Ovis aries: one gene and its partner. The protein of the gene in region 1 interacts with the protein of each later gene in a pairwise test. Links are inferred from orthologs where the notes say so. Each region holds a gene or a part of one and is shown on either strand. Other genes may lie near its edges.

Region 1 (4,959 bases):
GGGACAAGGGGGGACAGTAGGCACACCCACCCACCCTCTTCTCTGGGCTCCTGTCAGCCTGAGCCGAGGCCGTGGGGTACCTCTTCCTCTTAATCTTGTTGACCAGCAAAAAGAAAGGCCTGCAGAAGCCGTTCAGATTGTGGGGAGAACAAGACACAAGAAGCACCTACAGAGAGTGTGCCGAACAACCCAAAGCTGAATGCTAACGCACGAGCCGAGCCTCTGGCCCTTACCTGGAGACCGTGACCTTGACTTTACATAGACCCCCGACTTGGCTGTGTGTTTTCCTAGCTGTGCCAGGATCAGTGGGAGAAGATGTGCCAGATGGGACCAGACCGTCAGGCACAGGGGAGAAGATGTGTGACAAGAGTGACCTGGGGATGGCCCTTATGAGGGAGGGGGAGTGGCTCACAAGACTGTGTCATCTGTGGGATGAGATGGCAAGACCCCCCAGGCCACCTCCACCTGCCTGCGAGCCCCAAAGCCCTGGATGCTGGAGTGGGGGGACCCTCACTCTAAATCACAACTGGAATTAAGAACCGCTTTCAGTCCTGGTGGCATCAACCAGAATAAACCGCTCTCATTTGTCCAGGGACCAGAAGCCATGTGACTCATCCTCTTCTGGGGTCCATTCCCCGAAGGCACCCACCCTGTCCCCTAGTCTACATCACAGCACTGGCCCCAGACCATTTGCTCCTTCTTGTATTTAAAGATAAAACTCACCACACACACACACTGTTGGGGAGAGGAAAGAGGTAGGCAATGGGCTTCTGAAGAGCCATTTCCTAAAATATTCCTATTAGTGAACATGATCCAGGATACAAACCGAAATATCACACAGAGTAGTCCATGCAGCCAGGAGCCCCTCACCCCTGCCCCGGACACCTGTTTCCTTACACACGTCATCACCGCCACCACCACTTGCTGTCACACCTCTGGCCTTCATGAGTAAGTAACAACACCGAGCATTTACTGAGCACTCAGTGTCTGCACTGTGCTCGGAGCACTTGTACCTTTGTCTCATTGAATCCCTGCAGCAGCCTTAGGATGAGGATCTGAAGCTGGGTGGGGGCGGCAGCCCACCCACAGACACGAACCTTCCCACCACCTCTCAATCACCCAGTCCCTGAGGTCCTGGGATGGAGCCATGCTCCGCCTTGCTTACCTTCAGCCCGATGACGTTTTGCCCATTCACCTCACACACATAGTGGTTGGTGAGAAGCCCATTGCGGGCCGCAGAGCTCCCTTTGACCAAAGAGATGATCTTCCCCTTCTTGATGACGAAGCCGACGTGGCCTGTGCTGTCCTTGTGCATGGTGATGGTCCGCTGGAACGGCCTGGCAGGGAGGGATGGTGAGCTGGGCCTGGGGCATAACCAAGGGCAGACAGACAGGCTCCTGGGACCCGGGTGCTCACCTGTCCCGAACGACTATGACAATCTTCTCGGCAGATGCCTTCTTCACCACCTGGTGGGCTTTGTCTGTGCTCCACCCAGCACAGTCACGTCCATCAATCTGCAGAATCTGGTCCCCAAAGCGCAGCCCCACCAAGGATGCAGGGGTGTTGGCCTGGACCAGCTGCACGAAGAGCCCCTGGAGGAGGCAAGCCCCCCAGTCAGTTCCCCCAGCCCAACCTGAGCCCAGGTGCCTCCTCCTGGGCTGCTGTTTGCCTCCTGATCTTCTCAGAGCCTACTGGGCCCTGGGACTGCAGCTCTGTACAGCAACATACAGGGTACCCCATTTTCCTGGTGAGGAAGTGAGCCACACAGCTAGGAAGCAACGGAGTCAGGAATTCAGGAGTTTTCCCAGTATCTCAGATGATAAAGCATCTGCCTGCAATGCAGGAGGCTCGGTCAATCCCTGGGTTGGGAAGATCTTCTAGAGAAGGGCATGGCTACCCACTCCACTATTCTTGCTTAGAGAATTCCACAGACAGAGGAGCCTGGCAGGCTACAGTACATGAGGTCACAAAGAGCTGGACGTGGCTGAGTAACTAACACTTTCAGGAATTCCAACTAGTGGTTGCATCCCCAGTCACTAGACTACAAGGCCTCTCATGCTGGCATCTGAACCAACCCCGCCACACCCTTCGCCTTACACTGTCTTCAGAAAGCCTCCCAGAAGCCAGATCCCTGTGAGTGGGGAGCAAGGAGGCATGAAGTCCCAGGAGGGGCAAGTGGAGGGTCCCTAGCACAACCCAGAGCAAGCCCAGAGCAAGCGCCTTATGGGAGGCGATGGAAAGGACGAGCCTGTCTAGGGCTCAGGTGAACCTTGGCTCCCCCGGGCAGCTCGGGCCGCAGGCAGGCGCAGTCCAGCACGCAATCTCTCTCTGCGTTCCGCGGGGCCCCTCCCCTCCCGCCCGACCCCAGCCCCACCTTGTCGATGGCCTGCAGCCGCAGCCCGGTCTTGCCACGCTCGTCCTTGCATAGGTGGATCTCGCGCACCCCGGGCTTGATCTCCGCACGCAGTGCGCCCAGGCTGTTCCCGGACACCGGCGCCACCACCTGGCCCGGCGATGGGCCCGAGACCGCTGCCTGCAGACCACAGGGGAGAAGAGGTCAGCCAGCGCCGTGGGGCCTCGTGCCTCAAGGGTCCAAGCGTGGGAACAGGGATTGGCAAAAGAGAACCGGGTGGACCCTGAGCTCCAGCCCACCGCAGACCACACACACACCTCTTGCGAGCAAGAGGACACATGGCGCCATGAAGCCGCTAGGGGGCGTCAAAGTCCACACCCCAAAAAAACACAGCCAGGAAAATAGAGCCGGGAGGACAGGTGCGTATTATAGAAAAAGGGTCTTCATTTTCCAAGACAACTTGGTGTCAGAAGAACCTTTTTAAATCCACTTTAAAAGATTCACAGAAAATCGTGAACAATGAGGGGGTAAAGGAGCTCAAGTTGATTTCTGCCTTGAAAAAAAATTTGTCAAAAGTATCAAGATGAGTGAATACTATTCCCCCCATCAAAAGATCTGGAACAAGGCAAAGATGTCCACTCCCACCACTACTGTTAAATACAGTAATGGAAGAACTAGCCAGATTAGTAAGGCAAGGACAGGAAATAAAAGACATATAGATTGGAAAAGAAAACATAAAATGGTCCCTATTTTCAGATGAGACGATGCTTTACTAGAAAATTCCAAAGAATCTACAGATCAACTCCTAGAACTCATAAGTGAGTTCAACAAGGTCACAGGACACAAGACCAATGCATACCAAAAGAATCAATTGTACTTCTATATACTAACAATGAATACGTGGAAACTGAAATTAAAAATACAATACCACTTACAATCGCTAAAAAAAAAAAAGAAATACTTAGGTGTGGAGCTAATAAAACATATACAGGAATTGTATGCTGGAAATGACAAAACACTGATAATAGAGATCAAAGAAGTGAAGTGAACTGAAATGAAAGTCGCTCAGTCGTGTCTGACTCTTTGCAACCCCATGGAATGTACAATCCATGGAATTCTCATCACATCATCATATGATATTTCTACCTTTAGATAAAAACTGAAATAACCTCAGTAGGATAGATATTAGTAGAAAATAGTGACGTTATTAAAAAGATAAATTTTGAGTACTCATTACTGTTGTTTTTAATATAGTGTATTGTGAGTTTGATAGTGAAAGTCACTTAGCTGTGTCCAACTCCTTTCACCCCATGGATGAATTCTGCAGGCCAGAATACTGGAGTGAGTAGCCTTTCCCTTCTCCAGGAGATCTTCCCAACCCAGGGATTGAACCCAGGTCTCGCGCATTGCAGGCAGATTCCTTATCAGCTGAGCCACAAGGGAAGCCCACAAATACTGGAGTGGGTAGCCTTTCCCTTCTCCAGCGGATCTTCCTGACCCAGGGATCAACCCGGGGTCTCCTGCAGGCGGATTGCAGGCGGATTCTTTACCAACTGAGCTATTGGGGAAGCCTGATCAAAGGTCTAAATAAATAAAGAAATATTTTGTATTGATGGATCAGAAAAACTAGACGAAGCTGTCAACTGTCCACAAATTGATATACATATTTAATGCATTTCCTATCACAGTCTGTATGTTTTGTAGATAGAGGCAAGGTTAATCTAAACTTTACATGAAAACACAAAGGAACTAGAATAGCTAAAACTAGTCTGACAAAAAAGAAAAAAACAGGAGAAATCACTCTACCAGATTTCCAGACTTTCTGTGTAGCTACAGTCATCAAGATAGTGTGGTACTGGGGAGAGACAGACCTTTGGAGCAGAAGAGAGAATATCCAGAAATAGCCTCACACAAGTAGGGGCAACTGCTTCTTAACAGAGGTGTGAGAACGATTTAGTGAAGACAGAAGAGCCTTTTCAACAAATGGCATGGGAGCAACTGAACAGCCACAGGCAAAATATGAATCGTGACCTCATGCCTTATGCAAAGATTAACTCAAGTTCAATCATAAATTTAAACAAAAAACTATAAGAGTTTCAGAAGTAAAAGGGAAATTTTTTCAGAAACCTAGAGCTCAGTCAAGTTTCTTAGGACACCAAGGCATGATCCCCAAAGAGAAAAATCAATAAATTGAACCTCATCAAAATTGAAAACTTTTTGTTCTCCAAAAAACTCTTTTAATACAATGAAAGGAGGTGTTACACAGTGGGAGAAAAATATTTACGAATCAAATGACAAAGGACTTTAGAATAAGGTCTCGAAAGTTGACTTTAAAAAATAATCCATTTAGAAAATAAGCAAAATATATGAAGAAACATTTTACCAAAAAGAATATACAGCTGGCAAATAAGCACATGAAAAGATGTTCAACATCACTAGCCATTAGGAAAGTGCAAGTAAAAACCATGATAAGGCATCACCACACACCTACCATGAGTAAAATTTAAAATAGTGATAATATCAAATGCTGGCAAAGATGTGCCAACAAAACACTCATGCATTGTTGGCAGGAAAATAAAATAATACAGCCACTCTGAAAATCGTCT
Region 2 (5,690 bases), on another chromosome or scaffold:
CCAGTCTGGGAAAAAAAAAAAAAAAAAAAAACACTTGCATTGATATTTCAGGAACTTTGTTTTATTTCAAGGAAATATTGTCTTGGTTAACAATTCTTACAGTTTTCACAGCTATATTGTAATAGGAACACAACAAAAAATTTCACAAAAATTAGAACCTTGTAGCACCAAACAACATGCTTTAGACAACTGACAGCAAGTTACACGTTTTGAAGAATATTACACAACAACAGGCTAGATAGAATTTAAGACAATTTAAGACAATATTTTAGGCTATGAAGAAAGTACAAAAACTCAAGACTATGAGGAATACTAGTGTTGAGATTACAGGGCAGGTTTTTTCAAGGCTATATAAACCTGTTTCATTTCTGCTTGAAATTTGAGATTCCTGAAAATTCTTTCATGCAGCCTCTTTTATATTTTCGTTATTTCCTATTTCCATAGTCTTTATGGACTCATAGGTACCATTGACTTCTCTTGTATAGTAATAGATTGATTTCAGGATGACGTTATCATGCAAAGTTTGACCAATTTCAAAATCTTCATCAAGGATAGCATCTTCTCGTGGTTCAAGCTTTCCGATAGTAGGAATCTCAGGAGGGCTAAAGATATTGAAGAATGATGCATCAGGAACCACTCTTGGCTGGGTTTCAACTTGTCCAGTAGCTGCTGTGCAACTCTGGGTGGTTGTCATTGTAACATCCTTTCCTCTTCTCCAATCTTACAGCCTTTGCAATCTTGGATTTCCCAGTCCCAAGAGAAGAAGGGATCATTGTGATCTGGCTTTGACTTTATTATATATCTCTTGGTCAGCACCTCATTCTTGAAGTATGGATTGGGTAGAAAGCAAAATTCAAATGTGTAACTTACAGGCCTGCTGGGTTTTTAAAACTTCAGGCTAACATCAGACAGAAGTTCAGAATGGGCTCATCATACTTCTGAATCATGGGCCCCAGCTTGTCAACATTCTTGAACACAGTCAGCCAATAGTCAGGAATGCCTTTAGGATCTTATCTTTTAGGCTTTCCTTTTCGAGCTCTTTTAAGAGCTCTATCTTTAGGCGTGACCTCAGGAACTCTTTTTGGAGCCTCTTTTCCTGGAGTCCTTGCCTTAGCCTCTGCTGCTTTAGCCTGCCCTTTATCTTCTGCCTTTGCCTGGAGGGCTTATTTTGGATCTTCTTTTACTTCAGGCCTGGCCTCCAGAGCATCTTTGGACTGTGCTTTTTCTTCAGTCTTTGCTTCGGAATTTTCTTTTGGTGTTACATTTTCTTCAGCCTTGACCTCAGGTTTTGCTTCCAGGTCATCCTCTTCTTCCTCACTCTCTAAAGCAGGCATCTCACTAGAGTCTTCCTGCATCTCTTCATCGCTGCTGAACACCTCATCCTCCGAATTCCATTCACATTTTTCTTCCGTGGGCTCATATTCTGCATTGATGATTTGGAATCGCCGGTTGTACAGAGCCCTATTGAGTTCGGCATATTTTCGTTCGAGATCATGAACTGCCTTTAAGAACAGGGCGTCTACCTTGTCACATTCGTCTTGAATATTTCTGAGAGCCTGCACACGATTTCTAACCGCCCGAGGCAGCTGATCCACGAAACTTCTACCTGACGGAGCCCGCCTCACACTTCTGGAGGGCCCAGGTACACTTATACGTCTATAGAATGGGCTGCGGCCACTGCTGCTACTGCAACTACTGCTGCTGCTACAGCTGCTGCTGTCAGATTCGTCCCCAGAATCGCTAGACGAGATAGCTACCATCTCTCCATCCACCCCCTGGGCGGCAGGTTCCGAGACCCTGTTAGGATCCGCTTCTGCCATTCTGCAAGTCTGCAAACCTCTTAGGTGGTCACTACCGCGTGCCCAGAGATGGGTAGAAAATGACTCACGGATGCTTGGGTGGTGGCGGCGGAAGCCGGGGCTGAGGAAGTGGCAGCGGTGAAGGCAGCAGGAGCGCTGGGCGGGGCGCGGCTGGGCCGAGGTGACTGCACCGGAGGTGGCGGCGGCAGCGGAGGCCTGGGCGACAGTGGTGGAGGCAAGGCCTCTCTGACCTGCAGCTGCGGCGGACTGAGGTGTGACGCAGCTGAATATCGCACTGCGAGAGCCCGAGATCTCTTCACTGCTTACATCTTGAGCCCCCTCCCCTCGCAGTCAGACCTCCAGTTCCTTTAGTTCCCAGTGTGCCTTTAGCTCGCACCTCATTTGCTAGACAAACTTGATTGACCTTGATTGACAATGCATCAGCCCAATAAGTGCGCAAGCACACCGCCGCCTCTAGGCTCCGCCTTCCTTTCCAGTCGCTCCTTGGTTGCTGAGGCACACACCACTGAAGACTTTTTTCCCCTTAAAATTCTGTCTTTATAGTTTTATAATTTCAAAAAAAAAAAAAAAAGCTTAGATATGAGGTAAAAATACTAGTCATGGTTCCTAACAAGGGAAGAGGAGTACGCTCCCATCCACTCATCCTTAATTCCCATTTGGTTTGTCAGGGGCCTCGTGACAAAAAGCTGTTCTTAAAAAATTGGAAGAAAATGCTCCAAATGGCATCATTGGATAGTATGATTATGGATTTCTTTTTAAATTCTCTTTCTTTTATCTGAATGTCTTATGAGCATGTATTTTTACACTGGGTAAAAAGGGGGAGTCGTTTATTGGCGAAGGGGGGAGGGGCTAGAAAGCAGGCATATTGAATTCCACGTAGCAGCTTTAATAAGTGCTGTTTGTGATGTTTGGCAAGCCTGTTTTATATCCATCTACAAGGTTTGCGAACCCATGTTGCCGTGAGTCAGTTACACCATTTTTTTTTACTGTATTTCTCTTTTTAATCTGACATGTCATAGACCCTGTCCTTGCTGGTGATTTGCCACGTAGTCTTTCTCCATGCTTTTAACAATCTTGTAGATAAAAAGGATAAACGGGCATTCAAATGTTAGGTAGTAGTATTTAAAAGCAGATGGTTTATTCTATACTTTTGTGGCAGCAGCTTTTAATTTCACGAATAGCAGGATGGGAGGGGGAATGTGTTGATGAAACTGCATCCTCTGTCAGGGTGTACTTTACAATGGCATCTGCCACCAGTTTCCTTCTAACATTGTACAATTCTAGCCATACTGAAGTATGATTTACAGGTTCAGTAATAGATGAATACACTTTTGCAAAATGAAGTTTAAAAACAGGTATCTGTTATTTTTATTTACAGGATTCTTTTCTGCAACAGAACGACTCCCTTGGTACAACCAAAAAGACCAGTGTTTACTTTTCATTGAAAGGTAAGGAACATATTTAGCCCATTTTTATGAATGACAAGAATTACCTATCTATATTTAAATAAAAATTCACAAGATGTAGCCTTTTATTTGGAAGATATCTTGTTAGTTCCATGGAAGCAGAAAAATCCACAGAGGTGATTTGGAATACTAATGTAGAAAATAACCTAATTAATCACATTCACTTTTCTGAACTTGCTCATAGACTACAAGTAACAAATTAAAATATAAAATATGATGAATTATTCATTTCAAATGAGGAAAAGTATTAAAGTTAGATTACCTCTTATCTTTCCTTTTTATTACAGAATTTGTGCTTATTTAGTTGTATTTTTTAAGTTAGGAAACACTTTTATTTCTATTTTATAAATGAATTTACTTTTATTATTTACTCCTGATTGTCAAAGTATGTAAGTATTGTAAGGAAAAATACAGCATAGAAAATTTCAATGGTAATACAAACACAATCAAATGATAACCACTGTTAGAATTTTGATGCATTTTCTTCCAGAATTTTCTTTGTAAATATATACATATGCCTGTTTACACATGCTGTTTTATCTATGTGACATCATATTGTGTTTTGTAATCTGCTTATTTATCAATTAATTGTGGCTATATTTTCACAGTAAATGGTTGAACATCTCATTTTTAAATAGATGCATATTCCATGAAAATATTTCCCGTAGTTTAACCAGATTCCTATTGTACAGCAGCTACTTATACTACCTCTCTACTAGTAGACGTATTTTTCCTGTTAGAAAATAGTTATCTCAGATACCTACTCTATGCACTTGTAAAAATTAGCCATATGATGAATTCCTAGAAATGAGAGTCCTGAAATAAACTGCCTGATCATTTTACTCTTTGATACATAGTGCAAAACTTCTCTCCAGAAAAAATTATCACAATTTGCAATTATACCAACAATGCATCAGTTCATTTATTTAGTCATTCAACTATTATATTTTTGTGCCTGCCATGTGCCAGGCACATGTGGTAGAGGAAGATGATATAAGTCTCACTAAAACTTACTGGGTGCATATCCTTTCATTTTTATAATTTTAATTAAAATATATACTATAGAAACAATGATTTAAATCAATGAAGCTATGCTGTAAATATTGTTCTATAAATTATTATTTTCCCTTAAAATGATGGACACATTTTGTTAATGAAGGAAGTTATATTTTATAGTACTTTAATGGTTTAATATACATGTTAAGTTTTGTACCAACAAGAATTAGTATTTTGGTTCTTTTTTAATTTTTTAAATTTTTTTATTTTACTTTACAATACTGTATTGGTTTTGCCATACATCAACATGAATCCACCACAGGTGTACATGTGTTCCCAATCCTGAATCCCCCCTCCCACCTCCCTCCCCATACCATTTCTCTGGGTCATCCCAGCACACCAACCCCAAGCATCCTGTATCCTGCATCGAACCTAGACTGGCAATTCATTTCTTATATGATATTATACATGTTTCAATGCCATTCTCCCAAATCATCCCACTCTCTCCCTCTCGCACAGATCCAAAAGACTGTTCTATACATCTGTGTCTTTTGCTGTCTTGCATACAGGGTTATTGTTACCATCTTTCTAAATTCCATATGTATGCGTTAGTATACTGTATTGGTGTTTTTCTTTCTGGCTTACTTCACTCTGTATAATAGGCTCCAGTTTCATCCACCTCGTTAGAACTGATTCAGATGTGTTCTTTTTAATGGCTGAGTAATACTCCATTGTTTATAATAGCCAGGACATGCAAGCAACCTAGATGTCCATCAGCTGATGAATGGATAAGAAAGCTGTGGTACATGTACCCAATGGAGAATTAGTATTTTGAAGTAAGCAGTGAGTTTGGGATTCAGACTTTTTAATGTATTTTTATTAGCTAGTTAATTTTCTGAGTATCACTTATTTGATAATCTTTCTATCTCACACATATTTGAAGTGTCACCTTTATTGTATTAACTAAATCATTTGGTTCTGTTTCTGAATTCTGTTTTCTGATCCATTCTCCATAAAGTTAGTTAAAGTGTTAGGTGCTCAGTCATGTCTGAATCTTTGCAACCACATGGACTGTAGCATGCCAGGGTCTTCTGTCCATGGAATTCTCCAGGCAAGAATATAGGGGTGGGTAGCCATGACCTTCTCCAGAGGATCTTCCCCACCCAGGGATCAAACCTAGGTCTCCTGCACTGTGGGCAGATTCTTTACTATCTGAGCCACCAGGGAAGCCTGATCCAATCTCCATAATTTATCTACAAATAACTAAGGAGGGAGTTTTTAAAATAACTTTATATTTTCTAGAAATAATATGGATTGAAGGAAGTCAGTATGTTGAATTCCAAAAAATAAATTTAAAATAACTCAAAACATGCTGATAGTCACCATTCACATTTTAATAAACATCTCC

Evidence for each region.
Region 2: the proteins of SDCBP2 (region 1) and FAM133A interact in binary tests that used the Homo sapiens proteins (3 or more experiments, as listed by UniProt). The two-hybrid records come from large-scale screens. The link is inferred for Ovis aries from reciprocal best matches to the Homo sapiens genes SDCBP2 and FAM133A.

The regions. Positions count from the first base shown.
Region 1 is NC_056066.1:59,463,659-59,468,617, reverse strand, and holds part of SDCBP2 (syntenin-2), read right to left. Parts: intron 2,534-4,959; coding exon 2,375-2,533; intron 1,593-2,374; coding exon 1,417-1,592; intron 1,338-1,416; coding exon 1,166-1,337; intron 1-1,165.
Region 2 is NC_056080.1:140,887,315-140,893,004, reverse strand, and holds the start of FAM133A (protein FAM133A), read left to right. Parts: upstream 1-1,994; 5' UTR 1,995-2,404; exon of another isoform or gene 2,405-2,555; intron 2,556-2,710; exon of another isoform or gene 2,711-2,932; intron 2,933-3,198; 5' UTR 3,199-3,268; intron 3,269-5,690.